Xenopus tropicalis: one gene and its partners. The protein of the gene in region 3 interacts with the protein of the main gene of each other region in a pairwise test. Links are inferred from orthologs where the notes say so. Each region holds a gene or a part of one and is shown on either strand. Other genes may lie near its edges. The genes, in order: nrbp1, zmynd10, tsc22d4 and mad2l1.

Region 1 (8,189 bases), on a different chromosome or scaffold from region 3:
GGTGAGGGGGCAGGACAGGTGAGGGGGCAGGAGAGGTGAGGGGGCAGGAGAGGTGAGGTGGCAGGAGAGGTGAGGGGGCAGGAGAGCTGAGGGGGCAGGAGAGCTGAGGGGGCAGGACAGGTGAGGAGGCAGGAGAGCTGAGGGGGCAGGACAGGTGAGGGGGCAGGAGAGGTGAGGGGGCAGAAGAGCTGAGGGGGCAGGATAGAGTGAGGAGGCAGGAGAGCTGAGGGGGCAGGACAGGTGAGGGGCAGAAGAGCTGAGGGGGCAGGATAGGTGAGGGGGCAGGAGAGGTGAGGGGGCAGGACAGGTTGAGGGGCAGGAGAGGTGAGGGGGCAGGAGAGGTGAGGGGCAGGAGAGCTGAGGGGGCAGGAGAGCTGAGGGGGCAGGACAGGTGAGGAGGCAGGAGAGCTGAGGGGGCAGGACAGGTGAGGGGGCAGAAGAGCTGAGGGGGCAGGATAGGTGAGGAGGCAGGAGAGCTGAGGGGGCAGGACAGGTGAGGGGGCAGAAGAGCTGAGGGGGCAGGATAGGTGAGGAGGCAGGAGAGCTGAGGGGGCAGGACAGGTGAGGGGGCAGGAGAGGTGAGGGGGCAGGAGAGCTGAGGGGACAGGAGAGCTGAGGGACAGGAGAGGTGAGGGGGCAGGAGAGCTGAGGGGGCAGGACAGGTGAGGGGGCAGGACAGGTGAGGGGGCAGGAGAGGTGAGGTGGCAGGAGAGGTGAGGGGGCAGGAGAGCTGAGGGGGCAGGAGAGCTGAGGGGGCAGGACAGGTGAGGAGGCAGGAGAGCTGAGGGGGCAGGACAGGTGAGGGGGCAGGAGAGGTGAGGGGGCAGAAGAGCTGAGGGGGCAGGATAGGTGAGGAGGCAGGAGAGCTGAGGGGGCAGGACAGGTGAGGGGGCAGAAGAGCTGAGGGGGCAGGATAGGTGAGGGGGCAGGAGAGGTGAGGGGGCAGGACAGGTGAGGGGGCAGGAGAGGTGAGGGGCAGGAGAGGTGAGGGGGCAGGAGAGCTGAGGGGGCAGGAGAGCTGAGGGGGCAGGACAGGTGAGGAGGCAGGAGAGCTGAGGGGGCAGGACAGGTGAGGGGGCAGAAGAGCTGAGGGGGCAGGATAGGTGAGGAGGCAGGAGAAGCTGAGGGGGCAGGACAGGTGAGGGGGCAGAAGAGCTGAGGGGGCAGGATAGGTGAGGAGGCAGGAGAGCTGAGGGGGCAGGACAGGTGAGGGGGCAGGAGAGGTGAGGGGGCAGGAGAGCTGAGGGGACAGGAGAGCTGAGGGGACAGGAGAGGTGAGGGGGCAGGAGAGCTGAGGGGGCAGGACAGGTGAGGGGGCAGGACAGGTGAGGGGGCAGGAGAGGTGAGGTGGCAGGAGAGGTGAGGGGGCAGGAGAGCTGAGGGGGCAGGAGAGCTGAGGGGGCAGGACAGGTGAGGAGGCAGGAGAGCTGAGGGGGCAGGACAGGTGAGGGGGCAGGAGAGGTGAGGGGGCAGAAGAGCTGAGGGGGCAGGATAGGTGAGGAGGCAGGAGAGCTGAGGGGGCAGGACAGGTGAGGGGGCAGAAGAGCTGAGGGGGCAGGATAGGTGAGGAGGCAGGAGAGCTGAGGGGGCAGGACAGGTGAGGGGGCAGGAGAGGTGAGGGGGCAGGAGAGGTGAGGGGGCAGGACAGGTGAGGGGGCAGGAGAGCTGAGGGGACAGGAGAGGTGAGGGGGCAGGAGAGCTGAGGGGCAGGACAGGTGAGGGGGCAGGACAGGTGAGGGGGCAGGAGAGGTGAGGGGGCAGGACAGGTGAGGGGGCAGGAGAGGTGAGGGGGCAGGAGAGGTGAGGTGGCAGGAGAGGTGAGGTGGCAGGAGAGGTGAGGTGGCAGGAGAGCTGAGGGGGCAGGAGAGCTGAGGGGGCAGGAGAGCTGAGGGGGCAGGGCAGGAGAGGTGAGGGGGCAGGACAGGTGAGGGGGCAGGAGAGCTGAGGGGGCAGGAGAGCTGAGGGGCAGGAGAGCTGAGGGGGCAGGGCAGGAGAGGTGAGGGGGCAGGACAGGTGAGGGGGCAGGAGAGCTGAGGGGGCAGGAGAGGAGAGGTGAGGGGGCAGGAGAGCTGAGGGGGCAGGAGAGGAGAGGTGAGGGGGCAGGACAGGTGAGGAGGCAGGAGAGGTGAGGGGGCAGGAGAGGTGAGGGGGCAGGAGAGGTGAGGGGGCAGGAGAGCTGAGGGGCAGGACAGGTGAGGGGGCAGGAGAGCTGAGGGGGCAGGAGAGGAGAGGTGAGGGGGCAGGACAGGTGAGGGGGCAGGAGAGCTGAGGGGGCAGGAGAGGTGAGGGGGCAGGACAGGTGAGGGGGCAGGACAGGTGAGGGGGCAGGACAGGTGAGGGGGCAGGAGAGCTGAGGGGGGCAGGAGAGGAGAGGTGAGGGGGCAGGAGAGGAGAGGTGAGGGGGCAGGAGAGGAGAGGTGAGGGGGCAGGAGAGGTGAGGGGGCAGGACAGGTGAGGGGGCAGGAGAGCTGAGGGGGGCAGATAAGCAGGACAGGGGAGGGGGCAGGAGAGCTGAGGGGGCAGATAAGCAGGAGAGGAGAGGTGAGGGGGCAGGACAGGTGAGGGGGCAGGAGAGGAGAGGAGAGGGGGCAGGAGAGGAGAGGTGAGGGGGCAGATAAACAGGAGAGGTGAGGGGGCAGGACAGGGGAGGGGGCAGGAGAGCTGAGGGGGCAGATAAGCAGGAGAGGAGAGGAGAGGTGAGGGGGCAGGAGAGGAGAGGGGGCAGGAGAGCTGAGGGGGCAGGAGAGCTGAGGGGGCAGATAAGCAGGACAGGAGAGGAGAGGTGAGGGGGCAGATAAGCAGGACAGGAGAGGAGAGGTGAGGTGAGGAGAGGAGAGGGGGCAGATAAGCAGGACAGGAGAGGAGAGGTGAGGGGGCAGGAGAGGAGAGGGGGCAGATAAGCAGGACAGGGGGCAGATAAGCAGGACAGGGGGCAGATAAGCAGGGCCGGCCCTAAGGTGGGAACTCCAGGTGACAGTGACCAGTTACAGGGGGCACACAGCCAGCTGAGAGCTGAATTGTACAAGTATAATTAGCGCTGCGGCCCCCCTGGAGCTGCCCCCCCCCCCTGGAGCTGCCCCCATGCTAAAGTTGAAAGCAGAATCCCCCCTGCAGGTAAGTGCCGTTACGGGACTAGGGGGTAGGACATGAGCTCTTCCCGGGGCAGGATAGACAATTTGCCCGGCCAGGCACAGGGTAATGGGGTAGTTCTGGGCTAGCAGACATTTCCCAGTGAGTACTGGGGTACAGCCGGCGGGAAGGGCAACAGAGGCAGAAGAAGGTGCAGTTACCCTGCCCGGGACACTATGGCCGCCAGGGGGCGCAGCAGCTGGCCCAGGGAAGTTGCTGTCAGACTGCGCTCTCACACTAACTGGGTCATTTTTTACAAACTAACGTGTCAGTTCCGCCAATCAGCGGCTCGCTAGCGTCCTGAGCCGCCGCTGATTGGCTGCTGTGGGAGGGAGTGGGTTCGGCTGTGCGGGCGGAGCCAGGCCCTGAATGGCTGGGCTTGGTCATTCGCCATAAGGGAGTCCGAAGCGTCACATCCGGGTACTGAGTAACCCAGGCCGGGGATTCTGGGCCTAGGACTGGCCTTCCTGCACGTAACACTTCGCGCACGGTAAGGTACGTCCCGACGGGCTGGGCGTGTGGGTGCGGGACAGGGATATAAGGAGCCCCGGGGTCTGTGCTGAGACTGAGGCAGCAACAAGTGGGAGCGCTGGGGTGCTGCGCGTCAGTTTAGCTTCTGCTGTGTTATAGGCGCAGGGGGGAGGGGAAGGTTTGTGGCGGGTAACGTTGGGCCCTAGGGCGGTAGGAACAGGGCTTAGTGGGGCCCCGGGGTGACGCAGGCAGAGATGGGGGGCGGGTACATGGGATGGGTGGGGCTGGGGGTGACACACAGGCAGCTGAGACAGAGGCAGGGTGAGTGGGGGATTGGGGTGAGAGGCAGGGGTGAGTGGGGGATTGGGGTGAGAGAGAGGCAAGGGTGAGTGGGGGATTGGGGTGAGAGGCAGGGTGAGTGGGGGATTGGGGTGAGAGAGAGGCAGGGTGAGTGGGGGATTGGGGTGAGAGAGAGGCAGGGTGAGTGAGGGATTGGGGTGAGAGAGAGGCAGGGTGAGTGGGGGATTGGGGTGAGAGAGAGGCAGGGTGAGTGGGGGATTGGGGTATTGGGGTGAGTGGGGGATTGGGGTGAGAGAGAGGCAGGGTGAGTGGGGGATTGGGGTATTGGGGTGAGTGGGGGATTGGGGTGAGAGAGAGGCAGGGTGAGTGGGGGATTGGGGTATTGGGGTGAGTGGGGGATTGGGGTGAGAGAGAGGCAGGGTGAGTGAGGGATTGGGGTGAGAGAGAGGCAGGGTGAGTGGGGGATTGGGGCGAGAGAGAGGCAGGGTGAGTGGCGGGATTGTGGCGAGAGAGAGGCAGGGGTGGGTGGGAGGATTGGGGTGAGAGAAGGCAGGGCGAGTGGGGGATTGGTGTGAGAGAGAGGCAGGGTGAGTGGGGGATTGGGTGAGAGAGGCAGGGTGAGTGGGGATTGGGGTGAGAGAGAGGCAGGGTAAGCGAGGTGAGGGATTGGGGGTGAGAGAGAGGCAGGGTGAGTAGGGGATTGGGGTGAGAGAGGCAGGGTGAGTGGGGGATTGGGGTGAGAGAGCAGGGTGAGTGGGGGATTGGGTGAGAGAGAGGCAGGGTGAGTGGGGGATTGGGGTGAGAGAGGCAGGGTGAGTGGGGGATTGGGGTGAGAGGAGGCAGGGTGAGTGCGGGGATTGGGGTGAGAGAGAGGCAGGGTGAGTGGGGGATTGGGGTGAGAGAGAGGCAGGGTGAGTGGGGTATTGGGGTGAGAGAGAGGCAGGGTGAGTGGGGATTGGGTATTGGGGTGAGAGAGAGGCAGGGTGAGTGGGGGATTGGGGTGAGAGAGGCAGGGGTGAGTGGGGGGATTGGGGTAAGAGAGAGGCACGGTGAGTGGGGGATTGGGGTGAGAGAGGCAGCGTGAGTGGGGGATTGGGGTGAGAGAGAGGCAGGGGTAGCGAGTGGGGGATTGGGGTGAGAGAGAGGCAGGGGTAGCAGGTGGGGGATTGGGGTAAGAGAGGCAGGGGTAGCGAAGGTGGGGGATTGGGGGAGAGAGAGGCAGGGGTAGCGAGGTGGGGGGATTGGGGTGAGAGAGAGGCAGGGGTAGCGAGGTGGGGGGATTGGGGAAAGAGAGAGGCAGGGGTAGCGAGGTGGGGGGATTGGGGTAAGAGAGAGGCAGGGGTAGCGAGGTGGGGGATTGGGGTAAGAAGAGGCAGGGGTAGCGAGGTGGGGGATTGGGGTGAGAGAGAGGCAGGGGGTAGCGAGGTGGGGGGATTGGGGTGAGAGAGAGGCAGGGGTAGCGAGGCTGGGGGATTGGGGGTGAGAGAGAGGCAGGGGTAGCGATGTGGGGGATTGGGGTGAGAGAGAGGCAGGGGTAGCGATGTGGGGGGATTGGGGTGAGAGAGAGGCAGGGGGTAGCGAGGTGGGGGGATTGGGGTGAGAGAGAGGCAGGGGTAGCGATGTGGGGGGATTGGGGTGAGAGAGAGGCAGGGGTAGCGAGGTGGGGGGATTGGGGTGAGAGAGAGGCAGGGGTAGCGAGGTGGGGGATGGGGTGAGAGAGAGGCAGAGGGTAGCGAGGTGGGGGATTGGGGTGAGAGAGAGGCAGGGGTAGCGATGTGGGGGGATTGGGGTGAGAGAAGAGGCAGGGGTAGCGAGGGTGGGGGATTGGGGGTGAGAGAGAGGCAGGGGGTAGCGAGGTGGGGGGATTGGGGTGAGAGAGAGGCAGGGGTAGCGAGGTGGGGGGATTGGGGTGAGAGAGAGGCAGGGGTAGCGAGGTGGGGGGATTGGGGTGAGAGAGAGGCAGGGGTAGCGAGGTGGGGGGATTGGGGTGAGAGAGAGGCAGGGGTAAGCGAGGTGGGGGGATTGGGGTGAGAGAGAGGCAGGGGTAGCGATGTGGGGGGATTGGGGTGAGAGAGAGGCAGGGGTAGCGAGGTGGGGGGATTGGGGTGAGAGAGAGGCAGGGCGGTAGCGATGTGGGGGGATTGGGGTGAGAGAGAGGCAGGGGTAGCGAGGTGGGGATTGGGGTGAGAGAGAGCAGGGTAGCGATGTGGGGGATTGGGGTGAGAGAGAGGCAGGGGTAGCGAGGTGGGGGGATTGGGTGAGAGAGAGGCAGGGGTAGCGAGGTGGGGGGATTGGGGTGAGAGAGAGGCAGGGGTAGCGAGGTGGGGGGATTGGGGTGAGAGAGAGGCAGGGGTAGCGATGTGGGGGGATTGGGGTGAGAGAGAGGCAGGGTAGCGAGGTGGGGGGATTGGGGTGAGAGAGGCAGGGGTAGCGAGGTGGGGGGATTGGGGTGAGAGAGAGGCAGGGGTAGCGAGGGTGGGGGGATTGGGGTGAGAGAGAGGCAGGGGTAGCGAGGTGGGGGGATTGGGGTGAGAGAGAGGCAGGGGTAGCGAGGTGGGGGGATTGGGGTGAGAGAGAGGCAGGGGTAGCGAGGTGGGGGATTGGGGTGAGAGAGAGGCAGGGGTAGCGATGTGGGGGGATTGGGGTGAGAGAGAGGCAGGGGTAGCGAGGTGGGGGGATTGGGGTGAGAGAGAGGCAGGGGTAGCGAGGTGGGGGGATTGGGGTGAGAGAGAGGCAGGGGTAGCGAGGTGGGGGATTGGGGTGAGAGAGAGGCAGGGGTAGCGAGGTGGGGGGATTGGGGTGAGAGAGAGGCAGGGGTAGCGAGGTGGGGGGATTGGGGTGAGAGAGAGGCAGGGGTAGCGAGGTGGGGGGATTGTCTTTGTCTTTTTTTTACATTATCTCGCATTTTCATGTGTATATCGGCTACATGTACTGCACCCGAGTGTATCTCATGCATTTGGGTGCAGGCACTTACCAAAAATATCCGCCCTATGCCTCGTGTGGCATTAGCCTAATGTCTCTGGGGGGGGGGGGGGGGAGGCATTGTGCTGAGCTGTGCCTTTAATCTCTGCCCTTTCCTCCCCCAGGTGCTGTTCCTTTAATTTTCTGAATATTCACACAAAGGGCAATGTCAGAAGGTGAAGGCAAAACTGCCCCCAGCACAGGCTCAGACCCCAAGATGGAGAGTGGGGTTTCCATGTCACCGCCTGTTAGTGCCCCCCCTGCACCACCACAGGAGGAGGAAGAGGAGGAGAGTGAAGATGAGTCTGAGATCCTAGAGGAGTCTCCTTGCGGGCGCTGGCAGAAGAGACGTGAGGAGGTGAGTCCTGGGGCAGGGGGGCATGGTGTGCCACAGGGGGCGCTGGCAGAAGAGACGTGAGGAGGTGAGTCCTGGGGCAGGGGGGCATGGTGTGCCACAGGGGGCGCTGGCAGAAGAGACGTGAGGAGGTGAGTCCTGGGGCAGGGGGGCATGGTGTGCCACAGGGGGCGCTGGCAGAAGAGACGTGAGGAGGTGAGTCCTGGGGCAGGGGGGCATGGTGTGCCACAGGGGTGCTGTTTGCTTGGCGCTGGCAGAAGAGACGTGAGGAGGTGAGTCCTGGGGCAGGGGGGCATGGTGTGCCACAGGGGGCGCTGGCAGAAGAGACGTGAGGAGGTGAGTCCTGGGGCAGGGGGACATCTGGTTTGGATAAATGGGGCGCGCTTCCCCCTTAATGTGAAAAAAGTCTTAATTAATAATTAATAGTTCTACTGTACATAAATACACTTACTGGGGAGCCAGCGCCCCCCCAATAGTTCTACTGTACATAAATACACTTACTGGGGAGCCAGCGCCCCCCCCAATAGTTCTACTGTACATAAATACACTTACTGGGGAGCCAGCGCCCCCAATAGTTCTACTGTACATAAATACACTTACTGGGGAGCCAGCGCCCCCCCAATAGTTCTACTGTACATAAATACACTTACTGGGGAGCCAGCGCCCCCCCAATAGTTCTACTGTACATAAATACACTTACTGGGGAGCCAGCGCCCCCCCAATAGTTCTACTGTACATAAATACACTCACTGGGGAGCCAGCGCCCCCCCCAATAGTTCTACTGTACATAAATACACTTACTGGGGAGCCAGCACCCCCCCCAATAGTTCTACTGTACATAAATACACTTACTGGGGAGCCAGCACCCCCCCAATAGTTCTACTGTACATAAATACACTTACTGGGGAGCCAGCACCCCCCCCAATAGTTCTACTGTACATAAATACACTTACTGGGGAGCCAGCGCCCCCCC
Region 2 (7,478 bases), on a different chromosome or scaffold from region 3:
TTTTACTTTCTACATATTATTTCTGATTGGAGTACCTTTAAGAGTTGCCCCTTGGTGAAGCTATTGATGTTATATTTCTGTTGGCACTCTGGCCTCAACAGGAGGTTGTATAAAGTTATCCAGGCTTGACCATCCAGCTTGGTCATCTTTAACTGGTCCTCAGCAGGTACAGGGTACCAGCGACCACCTTCATACTTCTGGAGCTGGCCTGAGCAACACAGAAAAAAGGTGTAACGTGTGAGGTAAATACACGTGCGATAAGGAACATTATAGCATAGTTGTGATAGCAAAGATATACTGAAATGTAGGGAAAAGTCCTGCTGCAGCTTCCAGTGTATATTGGAAAATACTCATCAACAGGTAGCAGTCCCCGTGTTGGCTGTATCTCTTACAAATATATTTACAAAAACCTGGAGAGTACACTTATTTGCAGTGAAGCAGTGTAGTTTTAATGAGACATCTTTAAGCACTACATGTTTCGCACCTGAGGAAGGCTGTTCAGCCGAAACATGTAGTGCTTAAAGATGTCTCATTAAAACTACACTGCTTCACTGCAAATAAGTGTACTCTCCAGGTTTTTGTAAATATATATGTGATAGCAAAGGGAAAAAGTACAAAGTTTAAAATAATGCACTGCTGCAAGATGAGGACACAGTAGGGCTTAGTTACAATTTGTACAATTGCAAGTGCTGGTGAACTAAGGGGGGCAAAACTGTGCCCAAAGGGCATAAACAGAGCACATATGCCTGTACCCAAGGAATGTACAAGCTGCACTCTTTAGCTTGAGATAGTTTAAATATCCAGCATGTAAGTACAGCTTACATAGGCGCACAACAGTCCTGTACTAAATGCCTACCTTTGCGCCTTGTGTCCAACTTATTACAGAAGGTTTACAGGCTGTGTAGGGGAACACCAAGCGCAACCCTATGCTGCGTATAGTAAATGCTTGCATACAAAGGCACAACTCTTTGGGCTCTGCTTTACTAACATAAGATTTGCACCTCTAGGTACAAATCTGGGGGGGGTGTGGCAGGGAAAGGCACCCCCTCAAACTTTTTTTGCAGTTTACTTCCCTGGTTGTAAATGAGCCATAGTGTAGTAATACATGACCTGTCTAACAAGGCCATTTATTGATGTTTAACTTTTTTTCTTTGTATTACAGGAGAATTAATTAGAAAATTAAGTAATTAAGTGATTTATGGCTCAAAGCACAGAGGAGCCTTGCGATACCACTGTCTTCAAAATATTCCAATAATAATCATCAATAATCAAAATGATTAATATTAATAATTAAGTATCATTAAGCTGCTTATTCTTATTAAATGAACCGCTATGTCTCTTGCAGGCCAATTTACATCTACACACTAGTTTGCAGCAGTGTAATGCACACCATATCCGCACCTTTTTGGCGCTGGGTCCAGGGACACTGATGCAGGAGTTCCACCAACAGACAAGGCAAGTTGTGAGTATTAAGGAGACGATTGGTCACACATAGTGGGAGGCTGAGGGGATAAAAGTTGCATTAATTCTTACAAATAAATCATTCATTGTAGGTCAAAGGCACATAGGACTATTCCCACTGTTTTGCCAATCATACCCATGGCAAAAAGCCGAAAATGCACCTCTATAGGCTTTTGTGGTAATGGTCACTGCCATGTTTTCAAGTGATTGCACATAAAGAGTCAGGTTGATTACCATGAACAGATCCATCCCCTTTGTACACTGCCCTAAAATAACATGATCTTGTATGCCAGCCTTTAGGTGTTCTGAGATTTTGCATGCTCACCTGTCAGTATGATCACTGATATATCGCATAACTGACAGGCATTTTAATGCAATGTCAAACTCCAGAGATTCAGCCTGCTGCTTTAGCTCCTAGGACAAATGTAGAGAAAATGTTAATTCCTTAAAAAACAATAGTAAATGTAAGTCTGCTGCAAAAGAGGGAATTTAGAGCACTATAAAAAAAATGTAAATAACACCCTGCTGCATTATAAATAAAATTAGTAGGGCTCATTTATAATGGATACAGATGCAAGTACTGGTGCTCTAAGTGGTGCAAAACTGCATGGAAAGGGCCCATAAACAGAACACTAATGCTTGTATCTATTGATGTTACAAGCTGTATTACTTTTACCTAGTTTCAACATCCTGAACACAGAGCACAGCACAGGCGCAAGATGGCCTTGTTGCCTTTGCACCTTGTGTGCACTGGCGCTCCTGCCTTGTATACAACTAAACAAGTTAGGGACACATTGAGGGCAACCATGTGCTGCTTATACAATATGCTGCACTGCATGCACAAGAGGCACAACTCGTGGGACTCCACTTTACCAACACTAAGCTTTGCATCTCTAGGCAACAGGTACAAATCTGGTGGGGATGGAAGGGAGTGGCGGTGCATTCCACATGTTTTTTTGTACTTTAGTCCCCTGGTTGTAAATGAGCCCCACTGCAGCAATACATTAAGTTTAATGTATAGAGAGTGTGCTTGGGACTGGAAGAGTCTTATATGTGGGGAGGGGGCTAACTATATTTTTAACTTTCAGCTGGTCAGTTCAGGCTAGTTTTTAGTATTTAAGTCACTGCATCTCTGTTGAGCAGTACTGAATTGCACATTCCATTTTTATTGCATTAACGCTCACCTCTAACGATGATGCTTCACTGGCAGTGTGGGAGAGAAGTCTGTCCTGGCTGAGTGTTTTCATATTAGAGCTTTGTGATGCTAACAGAGTCAGTTTCCTATGGCAGTAATCAATCAGATCCAGAGTAAGGTCCTCCGCAGACTCACATACTTCCTGCAAAACAGGAATAACTTATAACTAATTATATTCCTGCCCAGTGTGCATTTCATATACAAGCTGTTCTAAATGGAAAGATTTTTACTACCACATTTCTCAAGAAATTCAGAACTTTCACTAAATATCATCCCCTGTGTTCCAGCTGCATGCATGACACTCCTGGGAATCAATACATGACTGAAGAGTAAATATATGCCACAAATGAAAATACAAGGAAAATATCCAGAGATGCCAGACCTAACCTCACAATATATAATTACACTGCATATTTTCTATGCAAAGTTAGAAAACTTTAGCACAGAATAAAGTAATTTATTTAAACTGCAATTAGGAAAAGTGCCTATAAAAGCTTCAACATGATTTCAGCAGCAGTGTAAAAATTCTCTCTAAAAAGTGCTTTCTAAATAGGTAGATATACTCTAAATATGGACCAGAGTAAGGGTTTTACCTTATGGTAAAAGATTGTCTCCAGTAGGTTAATGATAGTTGCTTCATGATGTATCTGTAGGGACATAAATAAATGATTAATTAAATGCTCTTGACCTTCCACTGGTAAACTGGAGAACCCCAGAAATAACATTACAGTTATCTACGAATTCTAGAATGGTCATTCTTCCCATGCATCATGCTGTTTTCTATAGTTTGTTTACAATACAATAAGCAAGTCATTTTAGACTATGTAACATGGATATACACTGAAAGGCTTAACTTGTTGAAGATTGTCTTCTTTCAACCCAACTTAACTATGTACCTATTATGCATGAGCTGTTTGTTTAGCAGTTGACTAAGACTGGAATACTGGGAACAACTCTGTGTATTGTGGCTGGGAACTCCCAATTAATTGTCCCTGCATGCCTGCAATAATAACTGTTCAGGAAAAAAGGTGTGTCTTGGTTGCTTGCACTCTTACCACCATATAGAGAGGGAAGGTGCTCTTGGGCTGGAAGTCTTGCAGTTGACACAGTACAGGAAACACCTTAATCTTCCAGATCTCCACACTGATCAGTTCATGAATTAAAACTGAAATCTGATAAGAAGAAGCGAAAGGATTTTAGAATAATATTGTAACGCATGTCCTTTTTTATTACAAATGATACCTTCTTCCTAATATCCTATGGCTCTCTGTGCTTTGCCTTGTGTACCAAAGTGCTAAAGACAGTTGTAACACATTTAACTCTGTTTATAAAGCCAAAGGGATATCTTTTCTATTCCTGTTAAGTATCACATATACTTTTTCATTCTTGGGCAAATGCCACATGGGCTGATTCTCAGTCTGTGTTCATCAACAGGCAAAGAATTAGCCCTGTGTGACATTAGCCTTAGAATGAAAACATATACATGATACTTTGGGCATCAGCCCCTCCGTTTGCATCAGCCCTCTCTGTGTCTGCACCTGGAGCCATTGAGTAGGCCCGGGTATAAGCACACGGATTGGAATTTGGTGCCAAAACATGTGAAACTAGCAAGAGGAACATGGCTGACACAATGTTAATCTTTTCTGCAATCAAAAATGCAATTAATATTTGTCCAGTGCTGGCAGAACTTACAATTACTTTCATGTACAATATGAGCTTAAATAGCTCAGCTGATGCAGATTCCTTTTGTATTGTAAATGTTATAATCTCTCTATTGCTAATATATTGCTATGCCTTAGTATAACTCGTGCAGTAGAAGTCTGAAAGCAGCTTCCTGTTCAACAGAACAGGAAGTGAAGCATACACAGGAAACACATTTATCTGAAAGCATTGCTTTTTATAAAAAACAGCACAGGGACATCAATGGTAATATAATAAATTGTTCATATATTTTGTTTAGTATAAAAACTAAGTGTTCATTGCATTTTACCTATCATTTCTTTTAAGCAATGTTAACTATCACAATTGGTTTTACCTTTGAATGTGTCACAAGCAGGTCCTTAATAATCTCCTCCTGCCCTGCTGAAGCATTGAGGATCGCTTGCATATTTAGCTTTTCAATGTATTCATGCTGTTTAAACCACCTGGAGAGATTAGATGTTATAGCATTAAAAGGTGCAAATGTGGTGTAACTAAATTTTACTGGACCCCACAAAATCTTTAAGGCCCCCAAACCTTGGAAAGATAATCACATACATTGAAACTACACATTCTTTAGAATCCCAGTGGGCCCTATATACTCCTCTCTCTCCTTGTTACATATTTAAAAGAATAGTAACGTGTTTTTCAATCTGTTTGGCTGGTTTTTTTTTAGTATCACTAAAAACAATATATCACTAGTGTTACTACAATACAGTAGACCCTAGGGGGCCCGGGGTAGAGCAGGGTATAGACATTCCCAGGGTCTGCTGTATAGTTCCACCTAGGGTTGTACAGGTATGGGATCCATTATCTGGAAACCCATTATCCAGAAAGTTCCGAATTACGGAAAGGTCATCTCCCATAGACTCCATTATAAGAAATAATTCTAATTTTTAAAAATGATTTCCTTTTTCTCTGTAATAATAAACCAGTACCTTGTACTTGATCCCAACTAAGCTATAATTAATCCTTATTGGAGGCTAAACAATCGTATTGGGTTTATTCAATATATAAATGATTTTTAGCAGACTTAAGAGATCTGGAGATCATGGAGATCTAAATTACAGAAAGATCCCTTATCCAGAAAACCCCAGGTCCCGAGCATTCTGGATAACAGGTCCCATACCTGTACCAGCCAACTGGTAAAATACCAGACAAGGCCAGGGCCGGTATTACGAGTTTATTGCCAATGACTTAATTACCAGAATAGAAGAGAAACTGCTAAACTATGTGCTAATATACATACTACCACCTAATATGTCTGTATAAGATTGAATATTATTCACGCACCGCCTTCTAGCTCCACAGTAAATACATGTTCAACAGCGGAAAATAAATTCAGACAAGATTGTATCTAGGACTAAATGACTATCCGAGTGCTGCCACTAGGTGTCAATCTAGGACCTCCTTATGCCTGGGGTGTAATTGTAAACTTTTTGATATGTACAATAAAATATTATTGTATAGTGGGTTGTTTGAGTTGCAATGAACAGGAAAGTAAATAGTGCTGCACACAGGAGCTCCAGAAATAAGTAAATTTATGAATCCTGATGTGTACATTACCATTTGTTTGCAGCAGGGATTGATCCATTTTAAGGGAGTCTTCCTTGACGATATGAGTTTATAAATTGAATATATTTATGCATACACATATCTATAAAATTGCTTGTGTATATAACAGACAGGTTAACTCTGTCCCCTCCAATACCTTAGCAATAAGCCTATTACCTTTGGGCCAAGTATTGTAAATATATATATATATACAGGTATGGGACCTGTTATTCAGAATGCTCAGGACCTGGGGTTTTCCAGATAAGGGATCTTTCCGTAATTTGGAACCTCATAACTTAAGTCTGCTAAAAATCATTTAAATATTGAATAAACTAATATTCTAAACTAATAGTATTGTTTTTCCTCAAATAAGGATTTATTATATCTTAGTTGGGATTAAGTACAGGTACTGTTTTATTATTACAGAGAAAAGGGGAATCACCTTATAAAATTAAAATTATTTGCTTATAATGGAGTCTATACGAGATAGCCTTTCCATAATTCAGAACTTTCTGGATAACGGGTTTCTGGATAAGGGATTCCACACCTGTATATACAGCCATACATATATTCATACATTTGCTTCTTTGTATATAACTGGAAAATTAACTCTCTGGAAATAAGTCTATTACCCTGTGCCAGGTTTCACTGAGGATCTTCTATGGAAAGATTTTGAACTACCGTTTCCTTCAGAAATTTCCCAATAGTTCCTCTTGACCGATGCATGCGCAGTAGAGTGAATTCTGACATATTACTATTCTGTGTGGGGTGGGGGGGAACAATGAACTATTGGGAAATTACTGAAGGATGGCAGCATGGAAGCTCTGATCGGACATATCCAGTTTTTCAGCAAAACGGAGCACCATCCCTAAGTCTGAGGTCAGTGATTATATTCAATGGGGCATTCCTAACAAGTAGAACAGACATACTGTAACTATGGTACACACTATGTATTGCAGATCCAGCTGGGAAATCCTGGAAGCAGGACACTTGAAAAACTGATAGAATGGAAATGGTATAGGGGTTAAGCTGTGGACCTGGCACATATAGGATAAATGGGAAAACCCATTTTTTTTCCTAATTTTGTAGGCAATTATGAATAATATACGGTGCTGGTTTCCCTTTGTGCTAAAAATTAATCCTATCTGTAAAAACGGCCCCTTTATTTTGGAGCTCCCTATAGATCCTATCTCTTCTCTGTCAGAGTTTGAAATGGAGAGTGGGCGTGTCCTAACAGTCCCTGCCAGAAGCACAGTAGGAGGGGGAGAGCCAATCACAGCCCTGCACTCACACAAGCACAGACAGGCTTCAGTTCCCTATCAGGTCAGTCTAGCTGCTGATTGGTTCCTATCCTACAGTGCAGTGTACGGAGGGCCGCCGGCTCCCCAGCTCATCCAGAGAATTCAGCCAGCAGGAAGTGGAACCGATGGGCGGGGCTAGTGGGGTTTTGGTGGAATTTCTCAAAAAATCAGTCTGAAATACAACTTTTTTAAGCACATTCCTTCTATATCTAGAGGAGTATAATTCTCTGGTACATTTTTATAGGATATGTCTCCTTTAATCCTCCTGA
Region 3 (7,478 bases):
CACACAGAGGGAAGGTAAGAGTGAGTGTGAGAGTGAGTGGGGGGAGCCAGGGGGAGTCACACAGAGGGAAGGTAAGAGTGAGTGTGAGAGTGAGTGGGGGAGCCAGGAGGGGTCACACAGAGGGAAGGTAAGAGTGAGTGTGAGAGTGAGTGGGGGAGCCAGGAGGAGTCACACAGAGGGAAGGTAAGAGTGAGAGTGAGTGGGGGAGCCAGGAGGAGTCACACAGAGGGAAGCTAAGAGTGAGTGTGAGAGTGAGTGGGGGAGCCAGGGGGAGTCACACAGAGGGAAGGTAAGAGTGAGTGTGAGAGTGAGTGGGGGAGCCAGGGGGAGTCACACAGAGGGAAGGTAAGAGTGAGTGTGAGAGTGAGTGGGGGAGCCAGGAGGGGTCACACAGAGGGAAGGTAAGAGTGAGTGTGAGAGTGAGTGGGGGAGCCAGGAGGGGTCACACAGAGGGAAGGTAAGAGTGAGTGTGAGAGTGAGTGGGGGAGCCAGGGGGAGTCACACAGAGGGAAGGTAAGAGTGAGTGTGAGAGTGAGTGGGGGAGTAAGGAGAGACTTGTACCTTACCTGAGAGACAGAGGAGTAAGAGAGAGTCGAGTGAGAAAGTGAGTGCAAGAGATGGAGCTTTACTTAGAGTGGGGCTGATTGGATTGGAACTGAGTCGGGGGCTGAGGCTGATGGGAAATATTCTTGTACTGGGGCATTTGGGATATATACAGTGTATGTGCTGGTACCTATGAGAGACCCCCCCATCATCCTGTCTGTGGGGGCCCCCTGCTCCCGTCTGACTAACTCCTACCCATAATCCACCCAAACCCCACAAACTCAGTGCTGGAATTGGGGTGAAAAAACAGAGGGATGCTGTGGAAAAATAGGCCCCACCCACTGCTGTAATAAGCCACACCCACCCATTACATTACATTACAGGGGGGGTTGTTTTGCCCTGATGTAGGAAGTGAAATTCTAAGACCATCTGCAATTGGTTTTCTTTTTTGTGGTTTTTGAGTTATTTCGCTGTTTTATTCAGCCGCTACCTGGTTGCTAGGGTCCAAATTACCCTAGCAGCCAGGCCTTGGTTTGAATGAGAGGCTGGAATTGGAATAGCGGAGGGCTTGGATACAAAGATGAACATTTGTTTTTGAGATGTCGGGGGTCAGCGACCCTCATGTAACTGCCGGACGGATTCAGAACGAGGCAAACCATTCAAAAACTATAAAGCAGAAAAAATAAAGCCCAACTGAAAAGTTGCTTAGAATTAGCTTCCAGCACATCTCACCTTTCCCCAGTTTCCCAAAGGCCCACAGGCCGCTAATAATGTGCGTTATTGGGCCCACTGGTGCCACGGTCACATGCTGTAATGTCTGCAACCTGATTGGCTGAATACTGAGCATTTCTATAAAAACGTATAACTTCCCATTGGCTAGGCGGGGGCTTACAGGGTTACCCCCACGACCCATTAGGCAAACCGCCCCTAGTTGACTGGGTGCCCCCTGCATACTCTGTGCCAAAGGTACCGTGGGGCCACCAGGAGCCGCACAAATATAACCCCCTGCTGCGCACAGTAAAGGAGAATATGAGTGCCAGGGAGCCTGAGAGCAGTGATTGGCTGTGCCAATTCCCCGGCCTTGAATTGTTTTTCAGCTTTTATCCTTTCATGTGATACCATAACACAGGCTATAACTCCCTGCACTGACTCCCCACGCTCTATTGGCCACCCTGTCACTGCCGGCCTTACAGTGCATCATGGGATGTAGTTCTTCTGTATATCCCTTAACCCACAGCAGCTCTTCCTCCCTCTTCTACCAATCACTGCTGCCTCAGTGTGAATATACAATCCTTTATGTTTATACCATATCCCTGCAGCCCCTCAGTGACTGCTAATATCCTTATCATTTACAGTAGGGGGTACAGTATCCCTTATAATACATGAGTGATACTCAGAGTTCCCTGTATAACTCAGCCTGCAGCCTTGTGCCTTTATATGGGGGGCACAGAACCCCTCAGTGACTGCTAATATCCTTATCATTTACAGTAGGGGGTACATTATCCCTATAATTACATGAGTGATACTCAGAGTTTCCCTGTATATACTCAGCCTTGCAGCCTTGTGCCTTTATATGGGGGGCACAGACCCCTCAGTGACTGCTAATATCCTTATCATTTACAGTAGGGGGTACATTATCCCTTATAATACATGAGTGATACTCAGAGTTCCCTGTATAACTCAGCCTGCAGCCTTGTGCCTTTATATGGGGGGCACAGAACCCCTCAGTGACTGCTAAATATCCTTATCATTTACAGTAGGGGGGTACATTATCCCTTATAATACATGAGTGATACTCAGAGTTCCCTGATAACTCAGCCTGCAGCCTTGTGCCTTTATATGGGGGGCACAGAACCCCTCAGTGACTGCTAATATCCTTATCATTTACAGTAGGGGGTACATTATCCCTTATAATACATGAGTGATACTCAGAGTTCCCTGTATAACTCAGCCTGCAGCCTTGTGCCTTTATATGGGGGGCACAGAACCCCTCAGTGACTGCTAATATCCTTATCATTTACAGTAGGGGGTACATTATCCCTTATAATACATGAGTGATACTCAGAGTTCCCTGCTTATAACTCAGCCTGCAGCCTTGTGCCTTTATATGGGGCACAGAACCCCTCAGTGACTGCTAATATCCTTATCATTTACAGTAGGGGGTACATTATCCCTTATAATACATGAGTGAATACTCAGAGTTCCCTGTATAACTCAGCCTGCAGCCTTGTGCCTTTATATGGGGGCACAGAACCCCTCAGTGACTGCTAATATCCTTATCATTTACAGTAGGGGGTACATTATCCCTTATAATACATGAGTGATACTCAGAGTTCCCTGTATAACTCAGCCTGCAGCCTTGTGCCTTTATATGGGGGGCACAGAACCCCTCAGTGACTGCTAATATCCTTATCATTTACAGTAGGGGGTACAGTATCCCTTATAATACATGAGTGATACTCAGAGTTCCCTGTATAACTCAGCCTGCAGCCTTGTGCCTTTATATGGGGGGCACAGAACCCCTCAGTGACTGCTAATATCCTTATCATTTACAGTAGGGGGTACATTATCCCTTATAATACATGAGTGATACAGTGTATAATATAAGGATATATTTCTCATGATATTTGGCAGGATCGCCTGCAATGAGCCTCGGCAAGAAGCGAAGTGGCTTCCAGATCACCAGTGTGACCAGTGACTACCAGCCCTCCTCCCCAGTTTCACCAGTAGCCGATGAGCGTTCTGCTTCCCCCACACCCACAAATGGACTACGCTCGCCCCCAACCTCTCGCTTTCGGGTGGTCCGACTGGACCAGGCTCCCCTAGGAGGGGGGCGGCGGTACAAGAGAGGCCGCTGGAGCTGTGTGGAATTCTACCACCCCGAGGTGGGGTCTACGTGCCGGGCTGGGGCAGGACACTCTCTGGATTCAGGGCTCCCCCGCGCCTCCCCACTCCGGTCCCCCTTACTTCTGTCCCCGGGAGCTGGAGGAAAGGGCCCTCAGGCCCCCAGGTCACAAGGGGCCCCAGTGCTGGGGGAAGGAACAGGCTCGGATATAAGGATTGAGGTAAGAGGGGTAAATACATGGGCTTTGATGATTCCCCTTCTCCCTCCCCATTTGTTTCTCCTCATTCCTTTGCTGTTAGTTTTGGCCCTCACACCTGGAGCCATTCCTTCTCCTGCAGCTTTCCTTGTGTATTTACCCCGGGGGCAGTAAATGTCCCAGAGGGAGAGGAGGGGTAAAAAGGGAGAGACAGTTTCCTCACTGCTATTCTCTGCTGAAATGCACTTACCCCCAACTGTAGGGTGAATGGGATAGGGACCTTAGATTGTAAGCTCACTGGGGCAGGAACTGATGGGAATGTGATAGGGACCTTAGATTGTAAGCTCGCTGGGGCAGGGGCTGATTGGGAATGTTGGATAGGGGACCTTAGATTGTAAGCTCACTGGGGCAGGGACTGATGGGAATGGGATAGGGGCCTTAGATTGTAAGCTCACTGGGGCAGGGACTGATGGGAATGGGGATAGGGGACCTTAGAGTGTAAGCTCACTGGGGCAGGGACTGATGGGAATGGGATAGGGGACCTTAGATTGTAAGCTCACTGGGGCAGGGACTGATGGGAATGTGATAGGGACCTTAGAGTTGTAAGGCTCGCTGGGGCACGGGCTGATGGGAATGTGATAGCGGACCTTAGATGGTAAGCTCACTGGGGCAGGGGCTGATTGGGAATGGGATAGGGACCTTAGATGTAAGCCACTGGGGCAGGGGGCTGATGGGGAATGGTGATAGGAGACCTTAGATTGTAAGCCACTGGGGCAGGGGCTGATGGGAATGGGATAGGGACCCTTAGATTGGTAAGCTCACTGGGGGCAGGGGGCTGGATGGGAATGGGATTGGGACTTAGATTGTAAGCTCACTGGGACAGGGACTGATGGGAATGGGATAGGACCTTAGATTGTAAGCTCACTGGGGCAGGGGACTGATGGGGAATGGGGATAGGGACCTTAGAGTGTAAGCTCACTGGGGCAGGGGCTGATGGGAATGGGATAGGGACCTTAGATTGTAGCTCACTGGGCAGGGCTGATGGGAATGGATAGGGACCTTAGATTGTAAGCTCACTGGGGCAGGGCTGATGGGTGGATAGGGACCTTAGATTGTAAGCTCACTGGGCAGGACTGATGGGAATGTGATAGGGACATTAGATTTTAAGCTCACTGGGACAGGGACTGATGGGAATGGGATAGGGGCCTTAGATTGTAAGCTCACTGGGGCAGGGGCTGATGGGAATGGGATAGGGACCTTAGATTGTAAGCTCACTGGGGCAGGGACTGATGGGAAATGGGATAGGGACCTTAGATTGAGTCAGTGGGAGGGGCAGCAGGTGAGTGGGAGGGGCAGCAGGAGTCAGTGGGAGGGGCATCACCAGGAATGGCTGCTTTGCGTCACACTAATTGGCCCCCCTCTCTCTCCCGTACAGCGCTCTCCAACACAGAGTCCTGTGGGGCCCCCAGTTTCTACTTTCCACCCTGAAACCCCCCCAGCCCAACGGGACACTGACGACTTTACTGAGCGGCTCATCTTGGCGAGATCCGTCTTCTGTGTGGGAGGGGACAACGACAGGTAAGGTCCAACTGTGCCCGCCTACAACCCAGCTCCTCCCCCTCCCTGGCATCTACCACTAATAGTACTCATGGGTAACTACTGGGGCCCTGAGGAACCCCTTACCCAGGGCTTATATATAGGGCCCCAGCCCCGGGGTTGTATATAGGGCCCCAGCCCAGGGCTTGTATATAGGGCCCCAGCCCAGGGCTTGTATATAGGGCCCCAGCCCAGGGCTTGTATATAGGGCCCCAGCCCAGGGCTTGTATATAGGGCCCCAGCCCCGGGCTTGTATATAGGGCCCCAGCCCCGGGCTTGTATATAGGGCCCCAGCCCACGGGTTGTATATAGGGCCCCAGCCCAGGGCTTGTATATAGGGCCCCAGCCCAGGGCTTGTATATAGGGCCCCAGCCCAGGGCTTGTATATAGGGCCCCAGCCCCGGGCTTGTATATAGGGCCCCAGCCCACGGGTTGTATATAGGGCCCCAGCCCAGGGCTTGTATATAGGGCCCCAGCCCAGGGCTTGTATATAGGGCCCCAGCCCAGGGCTTGTATATAGGGCCCCAGCCCCGGGGTTGTATATAGGGCCCCAGCCCCGGGGTTGTATATAGGGCCCCAGCCCCGGGGTTGTAATATAGGCCCAGCCAGGGCTTGATATAGGGCCCCAGCCCGGGCTTGTATATAGGGCCCCAGCCCCGGGCTTGTATATAGGGCCCCAGCCCCGGGGTTGTATATAGGGCCCCAGCCCCGGGCTTGTATATAGGGCCCCAGCCCCGGGGTTGTATATAGGGCCCCAGCCCCGGGGTTGTATATAGGGCCCCAGCCCCGGGCTTGTATATAGGGCCCCAGCCCCGGGGTTGTATATAGGGCCCCAGCCCCGGGTTGTATATTAGGGCCCCAGCCCCGGGGCTTGTATATAGGGCCCCAGCCCCGGGGCTTGTATATAGGGCCCCAGCCCCGGGGTTGTATATAGGGCCCCAGCCCCGGGGTTGTATAGTAGGCCCCAGGCCCCGGGCTTTTAGGCCCCGCCCGGGGGTTTGTAATTAGGGCCCAGCCCCGGGGTTGTATATTAGGGCCCCAGACCCTAGGGCTTGTATATAGGGCCCCAGCCCCGGGGTTGTATATAGGGCCCCAGCCCAGGGCTTGTATATAGGGCCCCAGCCCCGGGGTTGTATATAGGGCCCCAGCCCCGGGGTCTCATACAGGGACTATAGTTCTTGTATAACAGAGCTAAACCCAAGGGCGAGGGGGGATCCGGCATACGGCGGAAGGATACAGTGAGGGGGAAGGTACGGCCTAAGCACTGAGTTATTTTATTTACACAAGTTCTTTGCTCTTATTTCCCCTTTACAGTCGGGGCCCATAGTGTGAGGCTCAGGGATATTTCCCAGCAGCCCCCGGGGCCCGAGAGGAATGAGCTGCAGGAATTTCACAGCCGGACACAGAGCCTCGACATTTATTATCCATCTGTCACTTCCAACTGCAGAGCCTCTGCCCCCCCAGCCCCCCAACAGAGAAATACAGCCCCCCAAACAGCCCTGCAGAGCCTCTCCCAGAATCCCCCTGCCCCCCCAGCCCCCCAACAGAGAAATACAGCCCCCCAAACAGCCCTGCAGAGCCTCTCCAGAATCCCCCTGCCCCCCCAGCCCCCAACAGAGAAATGCAGCCCCCCCCAAACAGCCCTGCAGAGCCTCTCATGTTCTGCCTATCCCAGAATCCCCCTGCCCCCCCAACAGAGAAATACAGCCCCCCAAACAGCCCCTGCAGAGCCTCTCATGTTCTGCCTCTCCCAGAATCCCCCTGCCCCCCCAACAGAGAAATGCAGCCCCCCCAAACAGCCCTGCAGAGCCTCTCATGTTCTGCCTCTCCCAGAATCCCCCTGCCCCCCCCAGAGAAATGCAGCCCCCCCAAACAGCCCTGCAGAGCCTCTCATGTTCTGCCTCTCCCAGAATCCCCCTGCCCCCCCAGAGAAATGCAGCCCCCCCCAAACAGCCCTGCAGAGGCCTCTCATGGTTCTGCCTCTCCCAGAATCCCCCTGCCCCCCCAGCCCCCCCCAGCCCCCCAACAGAGAAATGCAGCCCCCGCCAAACAACCCTACAGAGCCTCTCATGTTCTGCCTCTCCCAGAATCCCCCTGCCCCCCAGCCCCCAACAGAGAAATGGCAGCCCCCCCAAAACAGCCCTACAGAGCCTCATGTTCTGCCTCTCCCAGAATCCCACTGCCCCCCCAGCCCCCCAACAGAGAAATGCAGCCCCTCCAAACAGCCCTGCAGAGCCTCCGTGTTCTGCCTCTCCCAGAATCCCCCTGCCCCCCCCAGCCCCCAACAGAGAAATGCAG
Region 4 (8,239 bases), on a different chromosome or scaffold from region 3:
GCGGCATTGGTGGCCCATTGGCCCTGTGCTGCAGCTCAGCTCACCTATCAATTGGCTTCTTATTGCCAGTGATAAGAAACAGATTTTTCCTGTGACAGTTGCTTTCAGCTGCCATGGACAACACAATTCCCTTGAAAATGCAAAGAGAGGATTTGTGGGGAAATGTAAATGCCACTGAAAAAAAATCTGGACAACGCTCCACCAGCCCATTTCTAAAGGCTGATATCTTTGCGATGTTGGGAGGTTATGTGACTGTGCCCAGGGCAGTCACGAGGCGGACCCCGGTGGAGGGAATGGAACCTACAACCCCGTCGTCACAGGGCGGTCTCCCTACCACTAGGCTATCCTTCCTCCTCCCGCTTATAGGATGTTTTTTATTTGCTACATAGTGGCAGTTGCTGTATCCTAACTGAGAAGCCTGCTGTTTGCTCAAGACCTATATAACTAGGGGGACTGTTTAATAAGTAGGGAGAATGAATCCTCCATTTATCAACATTCTGTAATTCAGAGTTTTCTGGATAACGGGTTTCCGGATAAGGGGGTCCGATACCTGTATAGACAACATTAGAAAGGCCAGCTTGTCCTAAAAAAAATGATGTATAGTTTTCCTTGGCAAAGTAAATTAACCCTTCAGGAAATGGCCCAAAGTGAAATGACAAATGGCAAATGAAATGCAAAATCCTGCTGGTACAATCCTTATTCCAAGGCTCATGTAGCTGTGGGACTGGGTTTGGTGGCACTGACAGATTTACTAAGAGCTAAAGGCAAATTCATAAAAAAATGTCAGTAAAATGACAAAATCTGAAAACTGTCTGTTTAAAAGACTAAGTGGTTGCGTAACATACAAGCACAAATTGTAAGGTAAGAGTGCATCAGGTATGGGCATTTGTACTTAAGTGCAGGACTAGGCAAAATAATGTTTTAGTTCTCTTAAAGAGAGTTAGTGAGTGTTCCCTATGGAGGGATTCAGGGATGGAGTTCCAGAGGTACAGTGGATATAAAATGTCAGGTTCCTGTGCTGTACAAAAATAAGACAAAGATAAATAATTTCAGAACTTTATCCACCTTTAATGTGACCTATAAACCGTACCACACAATTGAAAAACAAACTGAAATCTTTTAGGTGGAGGGAAGAAAACCAAAAAAACTTAAATAATGTGGTTGCATAAGTGTGCACACCCTCTTCTAACTGGGAATGTAGCTGTGTTCAGAATTAAGCAATCACATTCAAAATCATGTTAAATAGGAGTCAGCATACACCTGCCATCATTTAAAGTGCCTCTGATTAACCCCAAATAAAGTTCAGCTGCTCTTGTTGGTCTTTCCTGACATTTTGTAGTCGCATCCCACAGCAAAAGCTTTGGTCCACAGAGAAGCTTCCAAAGCATCAGAGGGATCTCATTGTTAAAAGATATCAGTCAGGAGAAGGGTACAAAAGAATTTCCAAGGCATTGGATATACCATGGAACACAGTGAAGACTCATCAAGTGTCATCAAGTGGAGAAAATATGGGACAACAGTGACATTACCAAGAACTGGACGTCCCTCCAAAATTGATGAAAAGACGAGAAGAAAACTGGTCAGGGAGGCTACCAAGAGGCCTACAGCAACATTAAAGGAGCAGCAGGGATATCTGGCAAGTACTGGCAGTGTGACAACAATCTCCCGTATTCTTCATATGTCTGGGCTATGGGGTAGAGTTGCAAGACGAAAGCCTTTTCTTATGAAGAAAAACATCCAAGCCAGGCTACATTTTGCAAAAACACATTATTATGTGTTATGTTATGGTCTTATGAAACCAAGGTTGAACTTTTTGCCATAATTCCAAAAAATATGTTTGGGGCAAAAACAATACTGCACATCACCAAAAGAACACCATACCCACAGTGAAGCATGGTGGTGGCAGCATCATGCTTTGGGGCTGTTTTTCTTCAGCTGGAACTTCGGCCTTAGTTAAGATAGAGGGAATTATGAACAGTTCCAAATACCAGTCAATATTGGCACAAAACCTTCAGGCTTCTGCTAGAAAGCTGAACATGAGGAGGAACTTCATCTTTCAGCATGACAACGACCCAAGGAATGGCTTCACCGGAAGAAGATTACAGTTTTGGAATGGCCCAGCCAGAGCCCAGACCTGAATCCAATTGAAAATCTGTGGGGTGTTCTGAAGAAGGCTGTGCGCAGGAGATGCCCTCGCAATCTGACAGATTTGGAGCGTTTCTGCAAAGAAGAGTGGGCAAACCTTGCAAAGTCAAAATGTGCCATGCTGATAGACTCATACCCAAAAAGACTGAGTGCTGTAATAAAATCAAAAAGTGCTTCAATAAAGAATTAGTTTAAGGGTGTGCACACTTATGCAACCACATTATTTTAGTTTTTTTGGTTTTCTTCCCTCCACCTAAAAGATTTCAGTTTGTTTTTCAATTGAGTGGTACAGTTTATAGGTCACATTAAGGGCTCTGGCACACGGGGAGATTAGTCGCCTGCGACAAAACTCCCTGTTCGAGGGCGACTAATCTCCCCGAGTTGCCTTCCCCTGCCATCCCACCAGCGAAAATGTAAGTCGCCGGTGGGATGGCACACGCAGCGGCACAATTTCGCGCAAATTGCTGAAAAAGCCTCGCGAGGCAACTTCGGCGATATGCGCGAAATTGCGCCGCCGCGTGTGCCATCCCACCGGCGACTTACATTTTCGCCGGTGGGATGGCAGGGGAAGGCAACTGGGGGAGATTAGTCGCCCGCGAACAGGGAGTTTTGTCGCGGGCGACTAATCTCCCCGTGTGCCAGAGCCCTAAAGGTGGAAAAAGTTCTGAAATGATTTATCTTTGTCTCATTTTTGTACAGCACAGGAACCTGACATTTTATCAAGGGTGTGTAGACTTTTTATATCCACTGTAAGGAGCAGCAAGATAGAAAGGTTTAGGACGAATGTGCGCAGTTGGTGTTGATGGTGTAAAAAGACAGAGACGACCAGGAACGTGCAGAAACCAGCAAACAAAAATGTAGCAAAGAAATGTTCCCACAGCACTGCCTGTCAGGAGTATGCATGATCATGGGTCCCTGCCCCCCAGGCATAATGTCGCCACCTGGCCAGTATTTTACCAGCCTTGATACCAGGCCAAATGGGTAGGAATATTATTTTTTTTACCAAACAGTGGCACTGGTAACCCAACCCATGATCCAAAAACAGAAGAGCAGGGTAATAGCTCCCTATGAAATTGCCCATAGGTGGGTATGTGACAGGGAACTGCATGCTCCAACGGGATCGAGAACGATGTGAATTTTAAAGTCATAAATGTATTTTCCAGTGCCCTAAGTGTGTATACGTTTGAAATAAAATTTCTGCATAATTTGTTGTTCCTGTATGCTATATCGTAAAAATGTTAAAGTTATATACATCCAAGTCCAACGCGCTCCACGCCCACTAATATGAGCCGTACCTCTTACAAATCACAATACCATGTTCTAAATATATCTGCGGAAGACGTCTACAGAACTGCGAACATATGCTCCATTTATTTAATATCACCGACAACTGCCCAAATATCGATAAACACTGCGCCAATAAACTAAACACGTAGCAAACGCAGATTCGATTCAGTTATTCTAGCTGCAAGCAAATTAGGAAAGCTAACTTTTGATTGGTTGATATGAGCTACACTATTACCGCAAATTTTAAGATTTGCCCTCAGTAATGATGGCGAACATACGACGTCACGCAGAACGCATCTTTCCGGCTGGCTTTTAATTGGACCACAGGCTGCACATGATGTGACAGTTGTCCAATCAGAGTACGAGTCCGCCGTTGGTTTGAAGTGGAAGGCGCGTTAGTACTATCAGGACCTGAAAACTTTTGGAACCAATTCAGTTTTACAAGAAGGGTCCGATGGCCGGTCAGCTAACACGTGAAGGGATTACCCTGAAGGGTAGCGCTGAAATCGTGTCGGAGTTTTTCTGTAAGTGGTTGGGGAGGGGAAGATAACCCTTATTGGTTGCAATAGCAGTAGCTAATAACTGAGCCTTTGGCATGGCTGATATGGGGACATGGATAGAAAACGCACTGACAATTGGACTCATGCAGTAAAGGAGGGACTACACGAAAATATTTTGCTGACAGTGTGTAAAAGTCCACCCCACTATCTGCTTGCTGAGTAAAGCTGCAGCTTTGGCCAGATAGAGCATGTGATTTGGAAGTCAGGCATTAATTGGTCTCCACTGAGCATAATATCCTCTTAGAGAGAGAGACTGGCACAATATGCTGCTTAAAATCGATATTTATTAAGAACTCAATACATCTTATTCAGAGAACAACAAAGCCCTATGTGTTTTTGTGTCCCATCTGGGCACTTCATCATAGGCCAAATCATTCCTGTTTGCATAATATCTTCTTAGAGAGAGACAGGTTGGCACAAAACCAGACTGGAGTAGAACTATACTGCTTAAAATTGCTATTTATTAAATATGTAATAGATCTGTTTCAAAGAACAACAAAGCTATGTGTTTTGTGCTCCATCTGGGCACTTAGTCATAGGCCAAATCGTTCCAGTGTGCATACTCCTGCTTCCAAAGATGGCAGCCACCAGCCCTGCTGCACAACTCTGCAATTAGACAACTGATATTGTGGTGGCCTGGATTTTGTAGACATTGGCAGTGATGCAGTTGAGGGGAGGGGAGCTGCTGTAGGTGGATACAATTTAAAAAAAAAAAAGAGTATGTGGGGGTTAGTGCTTCTTTAAAATTTTGAAAAACAGCAAGCACAAATTAACTTTTTTTTCTACAATGCTACATTTGTGTTGGCTGGCCAAGATCATGCTCCTTTTGTAAGGGGTGGCTATTTGCATACACTGTAACGCTACCAAGCAATTACTTGGCACTAGATTAAATAAAGTCAATTGAATCTCTGTATCTTAAGTGAACTAAGAAAAGTGTTAACAATAAAACTGGATAGGGTAGTTTTGTCACCAATATGGATTTATGCAACTTAGTTAGGATCAAGTCAAAACACTATTTTGAGGACATCCAGTATGGTGGCCACAATTAGTCACTCCTAACATAGAAGTGCCTTACAGCTTAAGAAAATAACTGTCAGTGAAAACCTTAGCTCTGTTGCAGTAAGGCTATACTTTGTGAGGTAAAAATACTTGTACCTTATGGAAACTAAGCTACACAAATCCATATTTGAGACCAAATGATCCTATGGGGTTTATTTAATGTATAAATAACTTTTGCAAACATATGGTATGATGATCCAAATGTCAGAAAGGTCCCTTATCCCAAATACCCTATGTCCAAAGCATTCTGGATGCTATACCTGTATTTTCACTGTAATAATAACCGTAGCTGCATAAATTCATATCTATAACAATCTAGTTGGGTTTATTTCATGTTTAAATGTTTTTCAGCAAAATCAATTATAGAAAAAAACCCTTACCCAGAAAACTACAGGTCCCAAAAATCAGGATATTAATCAGTCTGTTTTTGATCATATGTTAATTTTTGTTTGTTTTTTTTTCTCCTTAGTTTGTGGCATCAATAGTATTTTATATCAGCGTGGGATTTATCCATCAGAAACGTTCACACGTATCCAGAAGTATGGACTTACACTGCTACTCACTACAGACCCAGGGCTGAAAGAGTATTTAAATAAAGTTACCGATCAGCTTAAAGGTTCTTATTGGGTTTTATACATGATCATATCTTTATTTTTTTTATCTTTCTGTATGGTTTTGTTTTTGAATAGTTGTGGGTACCTTTCCATTTTCACTAACATATCCTAGATATGTCAAGGCTATATGTGAGAAAATATGGTATGTGTTAATTTGGGCCAGACTTTACTTCAACATACACATGCTCTTATTGTTAATGTGGTCTTAAGGGTAAGAATCAACAGAGCAAGTAACTCGCTCGAGAGAGATTTTTGCTATCGTGGGCTAGTCACCGTTGAAAAGGCTTTCCACTGGCAACAATAGGAAGCCCTTCGCGTTGCTTCGGTTTTCCTCCTCCTTGGTGCGACTTCAGAGCAGTTACATGCCCGCGATAGCAGAGATCTATCTTGGGCTAGTAACTCACTCCATGGGTTCTTACCCTTAAAGGAGAAAGAAAGGTAAGATCACTGAGGGGTGCCTCTGTTAGGAGAAAGCTGCACTGGCCCTGGGTACCTGAGAGAGCGATTCTCTTATGTCTTCTCACCACTTGCGCATGCACAGTTCTGTTGGCTTTGGGATCATAAAGAAAAAAATGACAAGAGGAATAAGATTGCTGGTGCAGGTTTCTCCTAACAGGAACAGCAGCCGAGGGTATAAGGTAAGCATTTACAGTCACTGGGGTGTGCCTAACGTTTTGGCACTCCCGGTGATTTTACCTTTCCTTCTCCTTTAAGCTATTAAAACAGAAATTGATGGGACATTTGGGTACAGGGGGTATTTGTGATCATCAGCTGATCAAATTTCAATCAATTTTTGTAAGGCAGTTGGTTTACTGTTAAACTGGACTATATTAGGTCATCTTTGTTAAAGCTGCCACACCATACTGAACCTTTTGAGTGGATGTTTATTAGAGATAAGTCTACAGTGGGAGGGTTTTTTTCTTTTCTTTTTTTTTTTTTTTCTAAATTTGAACATAGGAATGCATTTCCAATATAAGCTGCTTGTTTTTTGTGTCATTTTGAAAATGTGATACCCACCCAAGGATTTTAATAACTCTGTATTGCTCAAATTCAACCTTTTAAAGGAGAAGGAATGCCTAAGTCACTTGGGAGTGCCAAAATGTTAGGCACCCCCAAGTGACTTAAATCGCTTACCTGGTGCCCCTGTTAAGAGAGAACTGTACCAGCCCGGGGTAGCTGCAAGCGCTTCCTTCCATGTTGGCGCGCTGCACATGTGCAGAAGAGTGAAAAGCCGAACTTTAACAACAAAGTCGGCTTTTCATTCTAATGCCCAGGGATTTTGCCACAGAAGAAACGCGGAAGAAGGAAGCGCTCGCTACAGCTACCCCGGGCTGGTGCTTTTTTCTCCTAACAGGGGCACCAGCCCGGGGTACAAGGTAAACGATTAAAGTCCCTTGGGGGTGCCTAACATTTTGGCACCTCCAAGTGACTTAGACTTTCCTTCTCCTTTAATTCCTGTTTGTACCGTTTGTATGTATATTAGGCAGGCCAATAATTTATTTATTTTTTTCTTTTATTAGATTGGTTGTACAAATGCCAGGTACAGAAGCTTGTGGTTGTGATAACAAGTATCGACAGCAATGAAATTCTTGAACGCTGGCAGTTTGACATAGAGTGTGACAAAACTGTGAAAGATGGGTAGGTTTTTTTTTTCTTGTTCCCCCTTTAGAGCCAATATTAAAGGTTTAACGTTATCCATTATTTATACATATTAAACTATAAAAAAGAAAAAAAAAATCTTGGGAAATGACACTGTTGCAAAGTCTCCAGAAAACTTTAAACCAACCATTTCAGTATTGTTAAAAATCACTTCCACATAAGGAAAATTACCTTGGAGCAGTATACCCTGTTGCACTCTACAGGACATTGTTTGTCTTTGAACACATACTACTTAAATAAAGACCGTAGTAGACAGCATTGATGAGAAGGCATTTCACAGCTAACAGACTAAACTGCAAAAGGACATTAATTGTATTGTAACTTTAATTGCAATTCACTGTAAATCAATAAAGGTGTTCAATGACCAAAAGAAGCCAGCACATACAAAATTACTTAGAATTAACTAGGAAAGAAGACACAACACTGCAACTTTGACCTGTATCCAATCTAATTTAGTATTTAATTTTTTATAATTTCAGTATTGTTCGTGAAAAGTCGCAAAAGGTTATTCAAGAAGAAATTCGATCAGTTATAAGGCAAATTACTGCCACTGTAACTTTCCTTCCTTTGCTGGAAACAGCATGTGAGTATATATAATCTTTTGGAAAAGTGCTTTTTGCTCCTCTATATACACAAGTTTGTAAAAAAAAAAATATTTATAGCACCCTGTAAAAGGGTTGGCTAAAAATGATGTTTTTTCTGTACTGAGCTTTATGCACCCAGCATCTCCATAACAGTAATGATCCAGGCCTTGTGCACAGGAGCTCACCATCTTGGAATTTGTTAGAAGTGTCGGTGACACTGCACATGCTCAGTGCTGTTGAGAAGCTAAACTTAGGGATTATCACAGATTATTAAGCAGAAAAATAGGATTGCCTGTCATAAATGCTGATTATTAAACTTTGCAAATGCACT

The links.
Region 1: the proteins of tsc22d4 (region 3) and nrbp1 interact in binary tests that used the Homo sapiens proteins (3 or more experiments, as listed by UniProt). The link is inferred for Xenopus tropicalis from reciprocal best matches to the Homo sapiens genes TSC22D4 and NRBP1.
Region 2: the proteins of tsc22d4 (region 3) and zmynd10 interact in binary tests that used the Homo sapiens proteins (3 or more experiments, as listed by UniProt). The two-hybrid records come from large-scale screens. The link is inferred for Xenopus tropicalis from reciprocal best matches to the Homo sapiens genes TSC22D4 and ZMYND10.
Region 4: the proteins of tsc22d4 (region 3) and mad2l1 interact in binary tests that used the Homo sapiens proteins (3 or more experiments, as listed by UniProt). The two-hybrid records come from large-scale screens. The link is inferred for Xenopus tropicalis from reciprocal best matches to the Homo sapiens genes TSC22D4 and MAD2L1.

The regions. Positions count from the first base shown.
Region 1 is NC_030681.2:162,078,577-162,086,765, forward strand, and holds the start of nrbp1 (nuclear receptor-binding protein), read left to right. Parts: upstream 1-3,538; 5' UTR 3,539-3,624; intron 3,625-3,705; exon of another isoform or gene 3,706-3,732; intron 3,733-3,756; exon of another isoform or gene 3,757-3,778; intron 3,779-3,868; exon of another isoform or gene 3,869-3,921; intron 3,922-6,986; 5' UTR 6,987-7,027; coding exon 7,028-7,219; intron 7,220-7,479; exon of another isoform or gene 7,480-7,510; coding exon of another isoform or gene 7,511-7,552; intron 7,553-8,189. UniProt on the Homo sapiens protein: Required for embryonic development. Plays a role in intestinal epithelial cell fate and proliferation, thereby involved in the architectural development of the intestine potentially via the regulation of Wnt-responsive genes.
Region 2 is NC_030680.2:127,250,764-127,258,241, forward strand, and holds part of zmynd10 (zinc finger MYND domain-containing protein 10), read right to left. Parts: intron 4,801-7,478; coding exon 4,692-4,800; intron 3,829-4,691; coding exon 3,712-3,828; intron 3,304-3,711; coding exon 3,250-3,303; intron 2,799-3,249; coding exon 2,646-2,798; intron 1,876-2,645; coding exon 1,787-1,875; intron 1,503-1,786; coding exon 1,402-1,502; intron 209-1,401; coding exon 36-208; intron 1-35. UniProt on the Homo sapiens protein: Plays a role in axonemal structure organization and motility. Involved in axonemal pre-assembly of inner and outer dynein arms (IDA and ODA, respectively) for proper axoneme building for cilia motility.
Region 3 is NC_030679.2:151,478,968-151,486,445, forward strand, and holds part of tsc22d4 (TSC22 domain family protein 4), read left to right. Parts: intron 1-75; exon of another isoform or gene 76-183; intron 184-266; exon of another isoform or gene 267-513; intron 514-3,177; 5' UTR 3,178-3,188; coding exon 3,189-3,608; intron 3,609-5,019; coding exon 5,020-5,162; intron 5,163-7,478.
Region 4 is NC_030677.2:71,053,374-71,061,612, reverse strand, and holds the start of mad2l1 (mitotic spindle assembly checkpoint protein MAD2A), read left to right. Parts: upstream 1-3,840; 5' UTR 3,841-3,886; coding exon 3,887-3,956; intron 3,957-5,520; coding exon 5,521-5,667; intron 5,668-7,185; coding exon 7,186-7,303; intron 7,304-7,803; coding exon 7,804-7,907; intron 7,908-8,239. UniProt on the Homo sapiens protein: Component of the spindle-assembly checkpoint that prevents the onset of anaphase until all chromosomes are properly aligned at the metaphase plate.